Tribolium castaneum: one gene and its partners. The main gene of each other region encodes a partner of the protein of the gene in region 2 in a complex. Links are inferred from orthologs where the notes say so. Each region holds a gene or a part of one and is shown on either strand. Other genes may lie near its edges. The genes, in order: B9 domain-containing protein 1, transmembrane protein 231, transmembrane protein 17 and B9 domain-containing protein 2.

Region 1 (3,002 bases), on a different chromosome or scaffold from region 2:
TAAAGAAGAAAGAAAATAGAAGTTAAGAAAAGAAAAATGATAGAGAATATACAAGGTGGATAAAGAAAGAAATATACTTACCAATGCTTATTGGATGTCGTAAAGAACAGAAAACAGAATATAGAAAATAAAGATAATATAAAAGAGAGAAAGGACAAGCTAAACTGAAAAAGAGGTACAGAAAACTGATATAATTAAAAAATAGCAGACTATACAAGACAGGAGGTAGAAAATTGATTAAATCAGTAAAAAAACAAAAGGAAGAAGGAAATAAAGGTTAAAAAAGACAAGTGAAAGAGAAAGGTAGATAAAGAATAGAAAAATATACATGCGACGTTGGATACAATAATAATGTTAATAAAAAAAATATTGAAGCATTCTTTTGTTGACTTAATGTCGTTTTAGTTTATTTGAATTGTAATTTTTTTTCTTTTGTTTTGCTGTTTATTAATATAAAAAATAAACTTAGTATCTCGGCCAACTTTTTGAAAAACATAATTATATTTTTGGTGTTCTATAGTTGGTCACCTTATGTAAGCATTACAATCGCATGACATAGGAATTCAAGTTCATGGATAACTCGATTATAAATTAATTTGATCGCTTGATGACAGAAAACCAATTGAAACCGAATATTTATATTAAATTAAATTATAAACCATTCCTTCATTAATCAAGTAAGCTGTGCGTAAAAAAATATTTATTGACCCAAATCGTTACAAAAATTAGTCTTTTCCTCTCCCGAAATCATATCCAAGACTCCTCACACCTTGCATTACGACATTCACCGAAATCCTCACTTCTCCATGACTCAACATCTGAATTACTGAAACCAAAACTAGAACTAGAAATCTTTGCGTGTTGTGACAAACATACAGTGATTTCCGGCAGTAGTTGCCAACATTTTCGGTTGCAACAACTCGGGCTGGTACCCGAAAAACGCCCCCATGTACCCCAACAACGAGCTGGCTTGGGGCTTCCCCAAAGCCACGTCCACCCGGTGCATCCCCGGCCTCAGCGGCATGTGCGCCCGCCCGTACCCCTCCAGCTGCACCCCCCGGTACACACTAACCACAATTTGGGGCCCTGCAACCACAATTGAACGCCTCAAAATGCAAAATTTCGAACTCACATCCGTAAAGATTCGTCGATTTGAAATTAATCTCAATCGGAAGGTTGAACACTACTAAAGCTCCGTTCACGACAACGTTGGAGGTTTGGGACACGCCGGCCTCGAGCCCCCCGATTATTTTCCAGTCCGGGCCTGTCACAAACTCGTACTTGCAGTGCCACGCGGAGCCCGAGGGGGCTAAAATGTCGACAGACTCAATCTGGCCCGTTAAAGACACCAGAAAGGTGCCGTCGGACATCGTGGGGGCTGTTTGTATTGTGGTTGCTATGGTAACTTATGTCATCTATATCATCAAAGAAAATGGAAAATTGGGTTTTGGCAAATGTTTTCTAACTCGAAGCAGTAAATAAATGCTAAATTTTGAAAATATTACTAGGACCAGGATAACAGGAACGCAAAGAGGTCTTTAGAAATTTCGAACCACAAAATTACAGAAACCTGTAAGGTTTGGAGCGCCATCAGGTGGAATTTTTGTAGTATAAAATTTGAATTACTTTTTGCGTTTCTGTGATCCTGGTACCAAGAGAAATTTCAAAATTTGCCAGAATTTTTAACTCGGAATGTTTGAAACACCTGACAACTCCAAATTTTAGCAAAATTTTATACCTCTTAAAGCCGGACACCTCTTCGTGTTCCTGTGATCCTAATACCACTCCTAATACTTTCCAAATTTTACCAAAAATAGTCAAAATTATCAAAAGTATCAGGGACGCAGGGAGGTATTTGAATGTAATAAGTAAGTTTTAAGCGCCATCTGGTGGGATTTTTAATGTAAAATAAAACACAAGTTCTGAAAATGGATATTTACTTACATAACTTCACTATAGATACAGTTCATAACGTAAAATAATTCTAGACAGTAAAAATAAATAATGCGGTACAATTTTTACATGTGGATGCGGTAATGTACAAAATAATGAAGCGTAACTTAGAAGAGAAGTCGAAAGAAGGCAAGGCCTGTGTCGATGTACGTGAAAAACCGTAACTTAAAAATAAGTTTTTTGATAAAGATACATTGACATTTATCGTAAAGTTACATGAAATATTAAATGAGACATGCATTCGAACTTCCAGTCTTATTCCAAGCATCAAATCATGAATCTTTGGCAGTTATTCCTTTATCAATACGATGAATATAATAATAATGTACAAAAAATTGAAACACGAACGAAGCGACGAGTGCCTCAAAGCCACCCATCACCTCACGTCCGGCTTGTAAAAACAGCTGTTTGATTATAAAAACTGTGTACAATCGAAGCTGTTTTGGTAAAAATTATTATCCCTAGAAAAATCTAAATTTAGACAGCTATTTTACCATTACATAAGTTTCACATTAATATGTAAAATATTTTTAATTACGTAAATTTGTTCTAACATTAAACTGACTTATTGTGACATTGTACTTAGCACCACCGAAATGGCAGTATCACTAAACCGACTATCCTGACACGGAACGCATGAGCAAATTTAGTGTGCTTTCAGAATAAGTTTTGTTCCCATTTGGTTGGTATCATGTGCGGGAAAATGTCACTGCAGCCACAATCGACGCACCCGCCTCAAAAACCACAACCACTGACAACAACTCAACACGCCCTCTAGCTGTGACTTCTATCATTAAAATATTTTATTTTGTCACGTTTTTTCAAAAATTATTTTAAGTAAATGTGTTTTTTAACCATGAAGAGTGGTTTGTTTTTCAGTTTGGAACACCCTGTGTCGTAAAAGTCAGGTTTGAAGTTATGTCAACAATTTTTAAATGTAAAAATAAAACAGGGAAAATGCAATTAAACACTATAGAGTTAAACAGGAAAAATAAGATTTAACTAGTGTTATTTTATTACGTCTGCTCTCTAGTGTAAATCGGACTTTA
Region 2 (3,466 bases):
TTTTACAGAAACGCATCTGTCCTTGTCCGGATAGAGCGAAAGTGTCACTAGCACATCTATTGTTGCCAGCGCGTACTAAGCGTTATCGGCGGGCGATTTGAATTGCCCGTAGTTACTTTTCTTTTAAAGTTTGATTGCATTTTTCGTATTGTTTGTAAATATTCACAACAATAGTTGCTAATAACACTTTCTGATGTTAGACAACTATTGTTGCTGAATATTTACAAAGAATACGAAAAATAAAATATGAGAATAAATAAAGACAATAAACTTGTAATAAAAATTTATTATCACTAGTCAATATACACGATACGATAACTATAAACTAATGATTGATCCATCAAATTATTTATATTCCCACAATAAAAAAGTTCAAAAAAGCACACACACGAAAAAAACCACAAAACAGTACTAATTTCACATAAAACAAAGCCGAGGGCGAACACCAAACAAACCAAGCACAAAATGGCGATTTACACAATGGCAACTGTCACAGGTCCACTGTTAATTTCTGCCGATATTATAGGTAGCTTCGCTAAAATTGACTATACGTGTGTGCGACATCTGCGATAGCAAGCCGAACTACAGTCGATTTTGAATTTGGCGCCTATACTTGGCTTGGTGCATTTAGGTTTCACCACCCTGGTTCAAGTGGACGATCTCCTACAAACAGCAATTGTTCTGGAAGACAACAGGAACGCAGTTTCGTCTTCTAGTTCGTCTTCAGAGCCACTAGACTTGACGTTGTAAATAAAACGATGATAATAAAGTTTGTTAAATTTTTATTGTTTTTTCTTCACCGGATTTTCTTCAAAAAACAGTATTAATCTCCTGCTAAAAATATAGTGCTTTATTTTTGCAATTATCCATGAGATTATTATGTAAAGTGAGAGGTACTGGATCCAGGCCCACTTCAGTACTTGCCAAAAGCCCGGCTTGTAGTATATCCTGTCTTCTGGAAATTCTATATTTAAGTTTAATACGAAATTTTGAGTTTTTCCAGGAGAAAAACTTTTATAGACGTCTCTCAATGATGTGGATACTGAAAAAATATGTTAGTTATTGCTTTGTAGATTCTTTAACTTATACTGTTTCTCTTTGAAAAGTTTGTGATAATGGTATTTATGTCATAGTTATTTAAATCCCCATTATCCACAATCACAGGATAATTAAATAACGTATTGGTGTTTTTTCTGTGGCAAATTAAGGGGCTAGTTTGGGTCACAACCACATTAGCCACCAATGAATACTTCGATATATAAAATGGTAACAATTCTTGAAAAATAATGGCAGTCTGCATTTCAAGAGGACAAACCTATTGGAAAAAAACAGAAATATAGAAAAAAGAACACATTCGAATTTCTTACTTGTAATTTATAATTAAATGGAATGATTATGCAAAAAGACGTGAGGTGAGTATTAACTGGAAGATTAACTTGGAGAGACAAATCTAATTCTTCTGTTTTACCATCAAAATTTCTGTCAGTTTCACGAACCTAAAAGGCACAATATGTAAATTAATAGTTACAAAACTGAAAAAAAAAACCTTGATGACTGAACAAGTATCTAAAGGCCGCAATACATTATCAAAGTGGGGTAAATTACTACACGTTATAACAGACTTATTGTAATTATTCGTAGTAGCAACAAAAATGTATTCTCCTCGAAATTTTACATCCGGTTGTTCATAAAAAGTGTCTCTTTTTAACCACAAGCCTGAAAATTTGCTATCAGAACTATCTAATTTATTAAAATTAATTTCTTACCCTTGCTTTTGTATGCAAAAATAAATGGTAACACAAGCGATAAGACCCCAAAAATTAGGGCTAGCACCGATGCTTTTGATAGAAGAGTACTTTTATAAGAAATTTTTATATTCTTTGTAAAAACTTCTAAAACTACCATCATTAACATCACAAAAATTACGTCTTGTGGTTTTTGGTCGAATTTTTTATTTGTTTACCTGTCAACTTTGAATACAAACAATTAGGTTGTCATGACGACGACTGTGTGGGTAATTTGAAAATGCTAGGGCAATGACCGAACTGCCAAAAAAGGTAACGGAAACAAAAAAAACGGCCATTATGAGAATATTAAAAAAATCCTGATTTTGTTTAATTTTCTCTGTTTTCTTTAAAACGTGTAATTTCCTTAATTTTGTACATCGATTTCCTCTGCAGTTTATGTTATAAACAAATAAAAGTAACCTTTACGTTCATTTCTTTTTCTCTCAAAACAAAAAGTACGTTTACAATTTGGCGCCTTTACGTTCTTTTACATTTTTGCCGCATTATTTTTTTATTTCTCTCAGTTTTAAGCTCCGCTTTACTTTTATACGCCTATGTGTTCTCTCAATCTCTTATTTTTGTTTACGTGTTGTTTCCTTACCTTTTCTACACTTTTTTTCATAGAAAAATTGTTACACCTGATCCGGGTTCGAACCCCCGACCTCCCCCGTTGTAAGTGGTGCTTATACCACTGGGCCACGAGGCCCCAGGTACTGACCGTGTTTTGCAGATATTTTAACACAAATTTTTTAACTAAACCAACATTACAAACTATATAATTGCAATAATTCACGTAAAACGCAAATATTTTTAGTTCAAAAATCCGCAAATTTGCTCGAGAAAACATTTTCTTCTACTATTTTTTAATTTAATTCTTCAGATTTCATCAAAAGATACCGGGCAAATTGGTGGTTGATGAATGATGACTTGATGAGTAACGATATCTATATATTGGCAATGACATACTTAATTCTTGCGTTATTTGGTTTTTCCAGTTAAATACACTTGAAGAAGAAAAAATGTGTAATACTTGGTTTTCCAAGAAAATTAATTATTCGGTAGATATTAATCGTAAAACTAGGTCACAATTTTTCACCATTTATAAAATACTTTAACAATTTATATTCTTTATTTGGAAATGTATTTAAATAAAAAAAGATGGCAATAATTTAATACTACATGATTAATAAATACTATATCTAGTTTAATTTATTAAAATTATAGTGGAATTAGTTACGACATTTAATTAGCGCAGACTAATACAATTTATCAAAATTTTTATAATTCTTAGAACTTCTAATTAGTTGAATACAACAGTTGCTCTGATGTGACTTAAAACATATTTTTATCGTTAAAAAAAATTAAGATAACCTTTATATACTTAATAATGGTTAAATTGATTCAAATCTGTCTAAGAAACCATAACAAAATAAATGAAATTTGAACTACGAGTATAGTAAAGCAATTGAAAAGGTCAATTTTAATAATTATTATTTATTACAAAACAGTTATTTTAAGCTTTTCGAGTATAGATTACAACGTTTTTCTTATTCTAAAAGCGTCCAAAAAATAATTAAATCATACAAATTTGAATTTAAAATGTTTTTTTTTCTTCAAAATAATTGTTTATTGCTTTTCATCTGACATATTCTGCCGGGAGGGTTTTGCTAATGCAGTCA
Region 3 (3,041 bases), on a different chromosome or scaffold from region 2:
GTTATTAAATTCAAAACTCGTTGATTTGCTTCATCGATTAAAGTTGCCTTTTCTATTTTTTCTTCTCCAGGGCTGGACGTAATTTTCATGTATTCCTCCAAATCTAAACTGTTTTGAAAAAGTCCTTTCATAGGCTTCATAATATCAACATCCAACTGCATTAATCTATCAACAGCAGTTTCAAACGATTTAAATATATCACTAAAATATCAGTCAATTTAGTTCATAAAAAAGACGCCTAACACTTACAAAATTTCTCGATTTTCTTCTATCTTTAAATAAAAAGTTTTAATATAAAATAAATTGCTCAACATGTAGCGTAATTTCGACCTAAGAATTACCACCATAAGCACAGGCATTATGTCCTTGTTGTCAATAATGGGAATTTCAATTTCCTTATCTGTAATTATTAACAATTAAAAAAACCTAGTACATACAATAAATCAAGATGCAACTTACCTGACCTTTCTGAAATTACTGAAACCATCGCTGTCTTTATTTCCGCAAATACTAAATCGTACGTACTGCACAAACAGTTCATTTTCTCGTTGGGACTTTTATATTTGTCTATAACCGACAATTCCACAACCTAAAAAAAACATTACACGCATCAGTTAAAAAAATATTTTCAATTACGGCAGCACATAACGGGATACTATAATTATCATCAGCGCCAAATTCCCTTGCCGAGACGTTAATTTTGCACAAAAATGAGCACCGTTCGAAGAAATTTTCATCTTCTCGGAACAAATTCGCTTTAATGCATGGCACGACCAAATCGTGGATTTTATCAAAAATAATCCTTGAAATCACCAATGAAAGAACAAGTACAACAAATTGCCTATAAATTATTACCACTGGAAGGCCGCAAAGTTCCTGGGATTGTTTTGTTCCGGGAATATTTCTGTGTATAATTTGTAAACCAAGTCAGTTATTTTTGGTACCAGATCTGGATAATCCCCATGGTTGGGTAAATCCCACGAAACTATTTCTTCATCAATGTAGTCAAAAATGTTTTCGTGTGTTGATTTCACAAGCAGTTCTTCAGCTCTAAAATTATTTTAGCAATAAGTTTTCAGTCCAGTGACTCAACAATGACCATGCTATTTTTTATTTGTGATAATATAAAACTTTGTTTAAATTGTAAACTAGTAGCTAATAAATGAAACAATTCAAAAAAGATTAAAGGTAATAAATACGAAAGGTAAGTGGTGCTAAAATTAAAAATACTCACTGTTTTAAGTCTCGTATTTCCATATTTATTATTTCTGGTAGCTTGTATCACATTGTTTTAGGTATGTGTACTCAACAATAATGAACGACCTTCGTTGCTTACGTAATAACATTTTATCTGATAACTTTTCGGATAACCACTTGTTATTGTTTGAAGATTTTCCTCCGATACATATCTGTGATCATTTTTTTGTTAGCTTAAAACTTATGAGAATAACATCAATCGGACAGAAAGAATAAAGTTAAAAAAAATGCAAAAATAAACACCTGCAGTGGTCAATACCAGCAAATGTGGGGGATTTGATTACGGTTTCCAAGCAACTCAACCCCAAGTTAATACAAACAAAACCAGATTATCAATTTCAGGACATAAATGTCCAACAATCTGTTAACAATCAGAACATTAAAAATAATCTTGACCTTGTTGTTTGCTCAAAATATTCATTATGGATTGGAAGGAAACTGTGACGTCAGTGTCTGATAAAGTGTTTCCAGGCCTTTCGCGTAAAATCGATAATGTTGTTTATGGTAAAAACATGCCTGGTTAATTACGATTCCTTAAGGCTTTTTAGGTAACGAAGTTATGTCAAATTTGCCGCTGCAGATGTCGCTCTATTTCAACGTGATTTTCGCGCCATTTTGGATGGCCATTCTTGTGCTTTATTTAAGGAATACAGTAAGACTAACTACGAAAAACTACTAAATGACTCGAAATACCAATTCCAGTATCTCTGCTTTAGCGAACTGTACAAGTTTATTATCATAACGGTCATTTCGACAGTTTTCCTTTTGGAAATGTTAAGACTCTATTTAGGGTACAAGGGAAATCTTGAGGATAAAGTAAGTTAATGATAATAATTGAGTCGGCAGATGCAACCAATATTACACATGTGCACAGTTTGTTGAATATCACGGCCACTTTGCGGACGATTTAAATAAATAAGATTGTAGATTCCTGAACTGGCGGGCTTTTGGATGTTGTCCTTACTGCTCCAGTTTCCTCTACAAGGTCTTCTGTTATTCAATCCTAACTTCAAATTGCATGTTATAGAAATAATAGTGCAAAGTATCATGTTCGTGATGTTATGCATTCAGTTGGTGTCAAGCTATTGTGCTTTGAAATTTACGGCAGCGCAACAAGCAATTTACTTTCGCATTATGAAATTAAGATCAGATGTGACGCTTGCAGATGTACAAGAACGCTACCGAGTGAATAAAAAATGAATCTATACCAAACGTTTTATTTACAACTGGAAGATCAACAAATATAAAATTTCTAAGTACAACAACTAGACCCTATCATTCGTCTCGAGATCATGCTCTTGGTAGAAATCCACCAGCTTCTGAACACATGAGGACATCCTGAGCGTGAACTGTCTCATATCACGCAAAACGTGGTCCTCCTTGTGGTGCTTCTCGAGCGCGAGTTGGTAGAAAAGCTGTTGCCGGTTTGGGGTAAACCGTGACAAAATCTACAACTTGTTGGGATAAGCCACAATTTTTGAAAAAATGACGAAAGTACATTAAACAACTGAGACCCCAACCAGCCGTGGTACCGCTCCAGAGTCTCCTTGTACGCGTTTTTCACAAATATGGACAAATCCTGCGTGTTATTATTATTGTCGGAGTCATCGATCACAGACTGGAAGAAGCGCGAAATGAAATGAAGGGCTCTGAAACGATTTATGCATAAGTCTCCCAAAAAGGGGCTTTTTACCGCCGCAGCCACTGCAAAGCGTCCACAACAAGCAGTTGGCCCACATTTTTTTGTTTAAGTATCATGTCCTCTAGAAACTCGTAATTTTCCC
Region 4 (4,322 bases), on a different chromosome or scaffold from region 2:
TAATCAAGGAGATAAATCTGGTCCTGTGTTGTTGTTGGTTTTTCATACACTGAAGTAAAATGATTAGTTTAATGATTAACACACATTACGACCAATTACCACAATTAGTGAAGATTTGATTAAAATTTGGTATGTCGTCGAGATAAAAGGCGACTTTAGCGTTCGGCCTTAAGTTTCTAGTGATTCTGGTTGGTTTTTTGCGACATGCACGGAGACGGCTGGTGAAAGTGTAGCCGCTTGATACTCGTGTGCAGCCGCTTGACACTCGTTTACAGACGGTTGGTTTGGGCTTATTTTGGTTACTTAGAAGAATATTAGATGCCTTGATATCGGAGTGCATGTAGCCTTTACTATGGATGTATTCCAAAACATCAATTATTTGGAGGGATATTGTGAGCACTGTTTTAAGGTTTAGGATTTTCTTCTCTTGGAGGACTTTTTCCAAGTCTCTGTCAAATTTCGGGAGGATTAAGAAACGATACTTTTCACCCTTGTGGACGTGGGAACCTGACGCCACATAGTGGGGCATTCCGAGGGAACTTATATTCTTTGCTCGCTTCCACTCTTCAACTAGAAACGATTCCAATTATGCGATTTTTCCGCAAATTATTGACTTACTCATTTCGCGTTTAGCAATCCTTAGGTAACAATTGACTTCGACAAAAAGCGGCCCGTTTTTATGGCTTTCCACCTTAGCCACGTACTGACAATCAGTCTTGACCTCTTTGGTGAGGACATCAGAGGCCAGGTAGATCTCCCCAAAGCCCCCAACACCCACAGGTTTCCCCAATTTCCACTGCTTCCCTGTGATGTCTTTTAGGTACTCCCCATGTCTTAAATCAAAGGAGTTGCTGCAAGTCTTCTTTTTGGGGGGATCATTCTCCGAAGAACTGTTGTTAGCACGTCTCGGCATTATTTTAACGAAAGTGTGAAGTCTATAAACAATCTACAACATGGAGGCTTGAGATTTTCGCTCGGTTTCACTTGAGATACCTTACCCTGCCTAATTCATGTGATTACCCAAACAGAGGACCCTTCAAGAAGAAACGTTTTTTTTATGTAAATAACAACAAGATTTCAAAATCAAACGACATTTCCCCAATAACCTTATCATTTACATAACGACAACAGCAAGGTCAAGTGGCACGTCCCGGTTGTAAACAATAAGAAACAATACTTACTTTTCATACAACAAGTTAGAAAAGTGGTAAAAACTGTTATTTTGCCAAAAATCAAAAGGTGAAAGAAACGTCACTGACAATTTTCACGGCCATCTTCACGTTTCGCTCAATTGAAACGCCTCCTGATTTGTCGATAGCGCGCACGCGCACTGCAATTTCTCACTGCTTTTGCGCACAAGTCATTAAATAAAAAACGGGTTTTTGCGAAAAGAAAATTAAATTTGGGAAAAAGACTACCAACAGCCTTGTTGGCAACTGATGAATCACTCATTTTGTTGTCTATAACAACAATAATTGCAAAGAATCCAATTTGTTGTATCAAGTCATGGGAGGCTTATTTTTTATTCCTACACAAAACTGACCCCCGCCCTTAAAATATTTGAAAATCGTTGCTAGGCAACCGGAAAACAGTATTGTAAACAAAAATATTGTTTTTATGTTTGGCATTTTCTTCAGGTGGTTCTTTTATTTCAGTTTTGTTTGTTGTGAAAACAGTTATCATTTGATGGTATTCTGGCCTTATGGCAGAAGTGCACATAATTGGGCAAATAACTGAAGCCAAAGATTTTCCAAAGCAGAATTTGTTCTGTAAATGGTATCTCCAAGTAGGTGAGGTTCTCTTGACTTCTTTTCTTGATTTTTGTATCAAACAGACGCTTATTTTGCCTTTTCGATAAGTATTTCTATCGTTTTAAGACTAAAATCGACTGCTCTGTCAGTCAGTTCATGTTTATTTTTATTATTATAAAATTTTAAGGTAATAACTGGAAAGTTATTTCTGGGAAGAAGGAAGGTCAAACTCAAGTAACATCACCTCAGTTTGGTAAAGTTTGCAAGTGGTCTTATCCAATAGATATTCACCTAGCCACTGCTGGACTTCAAGGTTTATAATTTTTCAAAAAAGTCGTTTATTTTTTTAATGAGTCCGAATTTTAGGTTGGCCTAAGATTTATTTGCAAGTTTATCACTTAGATTGGCTAGGCCGGAGTCACATTTTCGGTTACGGTTTCATAACAGTTCCTACAACTCCCGGGACCCATATTTTGGACTGCTACACTTGGAGACCATTTGGTACAATAAAAGATCGTTTTGTGCAGTATTTTCTGGGAGGTGGGTATCAAATAAAAAATCCAGACTTGATCTTCTCTTCGGGGGAACGTTATAAACTCTCTACGGAGGCTATGGGAGTTGTTTCATTTGAACTGTGTGTTGTACTTAGGTAATAATAAGGCACAAAACAGTAATAATGACGAGTCCTTGTTCAGAAATTTCAGCAATTATGGAGTGGAATATGAGTAAACTACTTAACAATTTACCGACTGTTTTAATACTGTGCGTTTTGTTAAAAAGCACAAGTTTAGAAAATGTGACCACAACCCAGTCAAGTGAAACAAATGTTAAAAAGGGCACAACGTCACCAATTGTGTCCACAACCGCTGTTCCAACAACTACTTGCAAAGCCAACAGTTCTTGTTTTGCAAATTCAACTAATAATTCAGTAACTGTTCCTCCAACTCAACAAACAACGGCTTTAGTCACAACCCCGACTCCCGCGAGCTTTTTTCATTTTCATATAAAAACATCGGAACGATCAAGCAAGAATTTGTGTATTTGTGATTTAACTGTAAGTATCTATATGTTCCCTAATAAATTATATTTTTACGCATGATTTTAGATCGACTACTGTGATCTGAATTGCTGTTGCGACAAAGACTGTTCCTTAGAAAATAAACTTGTGTTTGATCATTGTGAAGAAGATTTCCGTCAATATGATACTAGATATTGCCAATACGTAAAACATATTTACGTTAATAAGACACCTCATGAGTTTCAAATTAACCAAAACGGACTATTTTGTATTGTGCGTAGTAATTTACCAGCAAGTTACATAGTCCAAAGAAAGCAAGTAAGATAAAGTCTTAAAAAAATCATAAAAATAATTTTACAACTTTAATTCCAGCCGTTGAAGTCATTACAAGATGCTCAATTCGAGAGACAAAATAAATTTAATTGGCCAAAGCCTACACATGAAGATAGTCAAATATTCAATTATTTCAACTATACTTATGGAAAACCTTTATTGATTTTAAGAAATAACACAATTGAAAACTTACGTTAGTCTCCAAATCTTAAATCAATAATCTAAATAACCATTTTTCAATCGTAGAATTTCTTAAGAGTTTTGTGGTAACTAGTTGCGTGGTCAAAGAAGATATAAAATATTTAATTGACGTCAAGAGCAGCTGTAGTCATACGAACATATCCGCAGATAATTATTATCTAAAAGCCGACACATTTTTCAGAAACATGACAATAATTGCAAATCCTGGTTTGCTAAATGTGTCTAAACACAAAAATTTTCTCAAGGTAGGTACTATACTTTTATGGAAACCAAACAGACTTATTCCTTTCCAGAATTGTACAAAAGATGTTTGTCTAAATGTTCGGCCAAAAATATGCAACGAAGACTTTGAAGACTGCGTCCAAATATCGCCAAACGACACGAGAATAAAATCGAGCTGCAAAGTTAACATTGCAAACAACGAACTGTTTTGTATTAATTTAGTACAAAACGTTAGATACAATTTTTATCATAATGGTAGCAACGGTTTGATAAAAGTCGAACTTTACTTGATTCTGAAAAGTGCCACTTTTTATTACCACCAGGAAATGGAGTTTTCCCAAACGATTGAAGTTAATTTTATTTGGTGGAACCATACTTTGAACTATTCATCGCACCTTAGTGGAAATCCGGGATATTTAGTTGGCAAGCCAATCTTAATCGCAAATATCGTTTCTATAAATGTTCCTATAAATAATACGAACTCGACTAGCAATGCAACAAGTTACAAACAACAATTACAGCTATACCGAAATCCTTCGGATTTTACCGAAAATTTCCTCGTTTTGCCGTTTGTAAATTCAGAGGGTGTGTGCGTTCTAAGTAAACACAAATATACTCCGATTGAGTTCGGTTATAATATGTATCTAAGATGCGAAATTAATGATTATATTTGGATCAAAAATCTCTCGGCGAAAAATGTATGCATTGCCGTACAGAACACAGTATTCAAATACTGGGCCTTAAAAGTAACAAATGGTACATTAAGTAATAGAGTGATTGCACTGTTCGGTAACGCA

What was found.
Region 1: transmembrane protein 231 (region 2) and B9 domain-containing protein 1 share a complex: the UniProt entries of both Homo sapiens proteins name them as parts of the tectonic-like complex. The link is inferred for Tribolium castaneum from reciprocal best matches to the Homo sapiens genes TMEM231 and B9D1.
Region 3: transmembrane protein 231 (region 2) and transmembrane protein 17 share a complex: the UniProt entries of both Homo sapiens proteins name them as parts of the tectonic-like complex. The link is inferred for Tribolium castaneum from reciprocal best matches to the Homo sapiens genes TMEM231 and TMEM17.
Region 4: transmembrane protein 231 (region 2) and B9 domain-containing protein 2 share a complex: the UniProt entries of both Homo sapiens proteins name them as parts of the tectonic-like complex. The link is inferred for Tribolium castaneum from reciprocal best matches to the Homo sapiens genes TMEM231 and B9D2.

Annotation. Positions count from the first base shown.
Region 1 is NC_087399.1:9,020,611-9,023,612, forward strand, and holds B9 domain-containing protein 1, read right to left. Parts: upstream 1,527-3,002; 5' UTR 1,371-1,526; coding exon 1,133-1,370; intron 1,087-1,132; coding exon 877-1,086; intron 827-876; coding exon 726-826; 3' UTR 684-725; downstream 1-683. UniProt on the Homo sapiens protein: Component of the tectonic-like complex, a complex localized at the transition zone of primary cilia and acting as a barrier that prevents diffusion of transmembrane proteins between the cilia and plasma membranes.
Region 2 is NC_087398.1:6,906,552-6,910,017, forward strand, and holds transmembrane protein 231, read right to left. Parts: upstream 1,998-3,466; 5' UTR 1,915-1,997; coding exon 1,767-1,914; intron 1,717-1,766; coding exon 1,547-1,716; intron 1,497-1,546; coding exon 1,368-1,496; intron 1,316-1,367; coding exon 1,090-1,315; intron 1,043-1,089; coding exon 783-1,042; 3' UTR 751-782; downstream 1-750. Other genes in the region: mitochondrial import inner membrane translocase subunit Tim21, read left to right, coding at 646-750. UniProt on the Homo sapiens protein: Transmembrane component of the tectonic-like complex, a complex localized at the transition zone of primary cilia and acting as a barrier that prevents diffusion of transmembrane proteins between the cilia and plasma membranes.
Region 3 is NC_087395.1:14,181,627-14,184,667, forward strand, and holds transmembrane protein 17, read left to right. Parts: upstream 1-1,627; 5' UTR 1,628-1,679; coding exon 1,680-1,761; intron 1,762-1,805; coding exon 1,806-1,909; intron 1,910-1,959; coding exon 1,960-2,073; intron 2,074-2,184; coding exon 2,185-2,457; 3' UTR 2,458-2,464; downstream 2,465-3,041. Other genes in the region: ankyrin repeat domain-containing protein 27, read right to left, coding at 1-201, 250-400, 460-589, 637-802, 856-1,050, 1,235-1,257; glycolipid transfer protein, read right to left, coding at 2,523-2,705, 2,756-2,906, 2,951-3,041. UniProt on the Homo sapiens protein: Transmembrane component of the tectonic-like complex, a complex localized at the transition zone of primary cilia and acting as a barrier that prevents diffusion of transmembrane proteins between the cilia and plasma membranes.
Region 4 is NC_087394.1:33,824,902-33,829,223, forward strand, and holds the start of B9 domain-containing protein 2, read left to right. Parts: upstream 1-1,463; 5' UTR 1,464-1,702; coding exon 1,703-1,790; intron 1,791-1,938; coding exon 1,939-2,064; intron 2,065-2,117; coding exon 2,118-2,400; intron 2,401-2,446; coding exon 2,447-2,480; 3' UTR 2,481-2,805; intron 2,806-2,856; 3' UTR 2,857-3,087; intron 3,088-3,141; 3' UTR 3,142-3,295; intron 3,296-3,348; 3' UTR 3,349-3,548; intron 3,549-3,596; 3' UTR 3,597-4,322. Other genes in the region: serine/threonine-protein kinase VRK1, read right to left, coding at 1-49, 100-570, 619-913. UniProt on the Homo sapiens protein: Component of the tectonic-like complex, a complex localized at the transition zone of primary cilia and acting as a barrier that prevents diffusion of transmembrane proteins between the cilia and plasma membranes.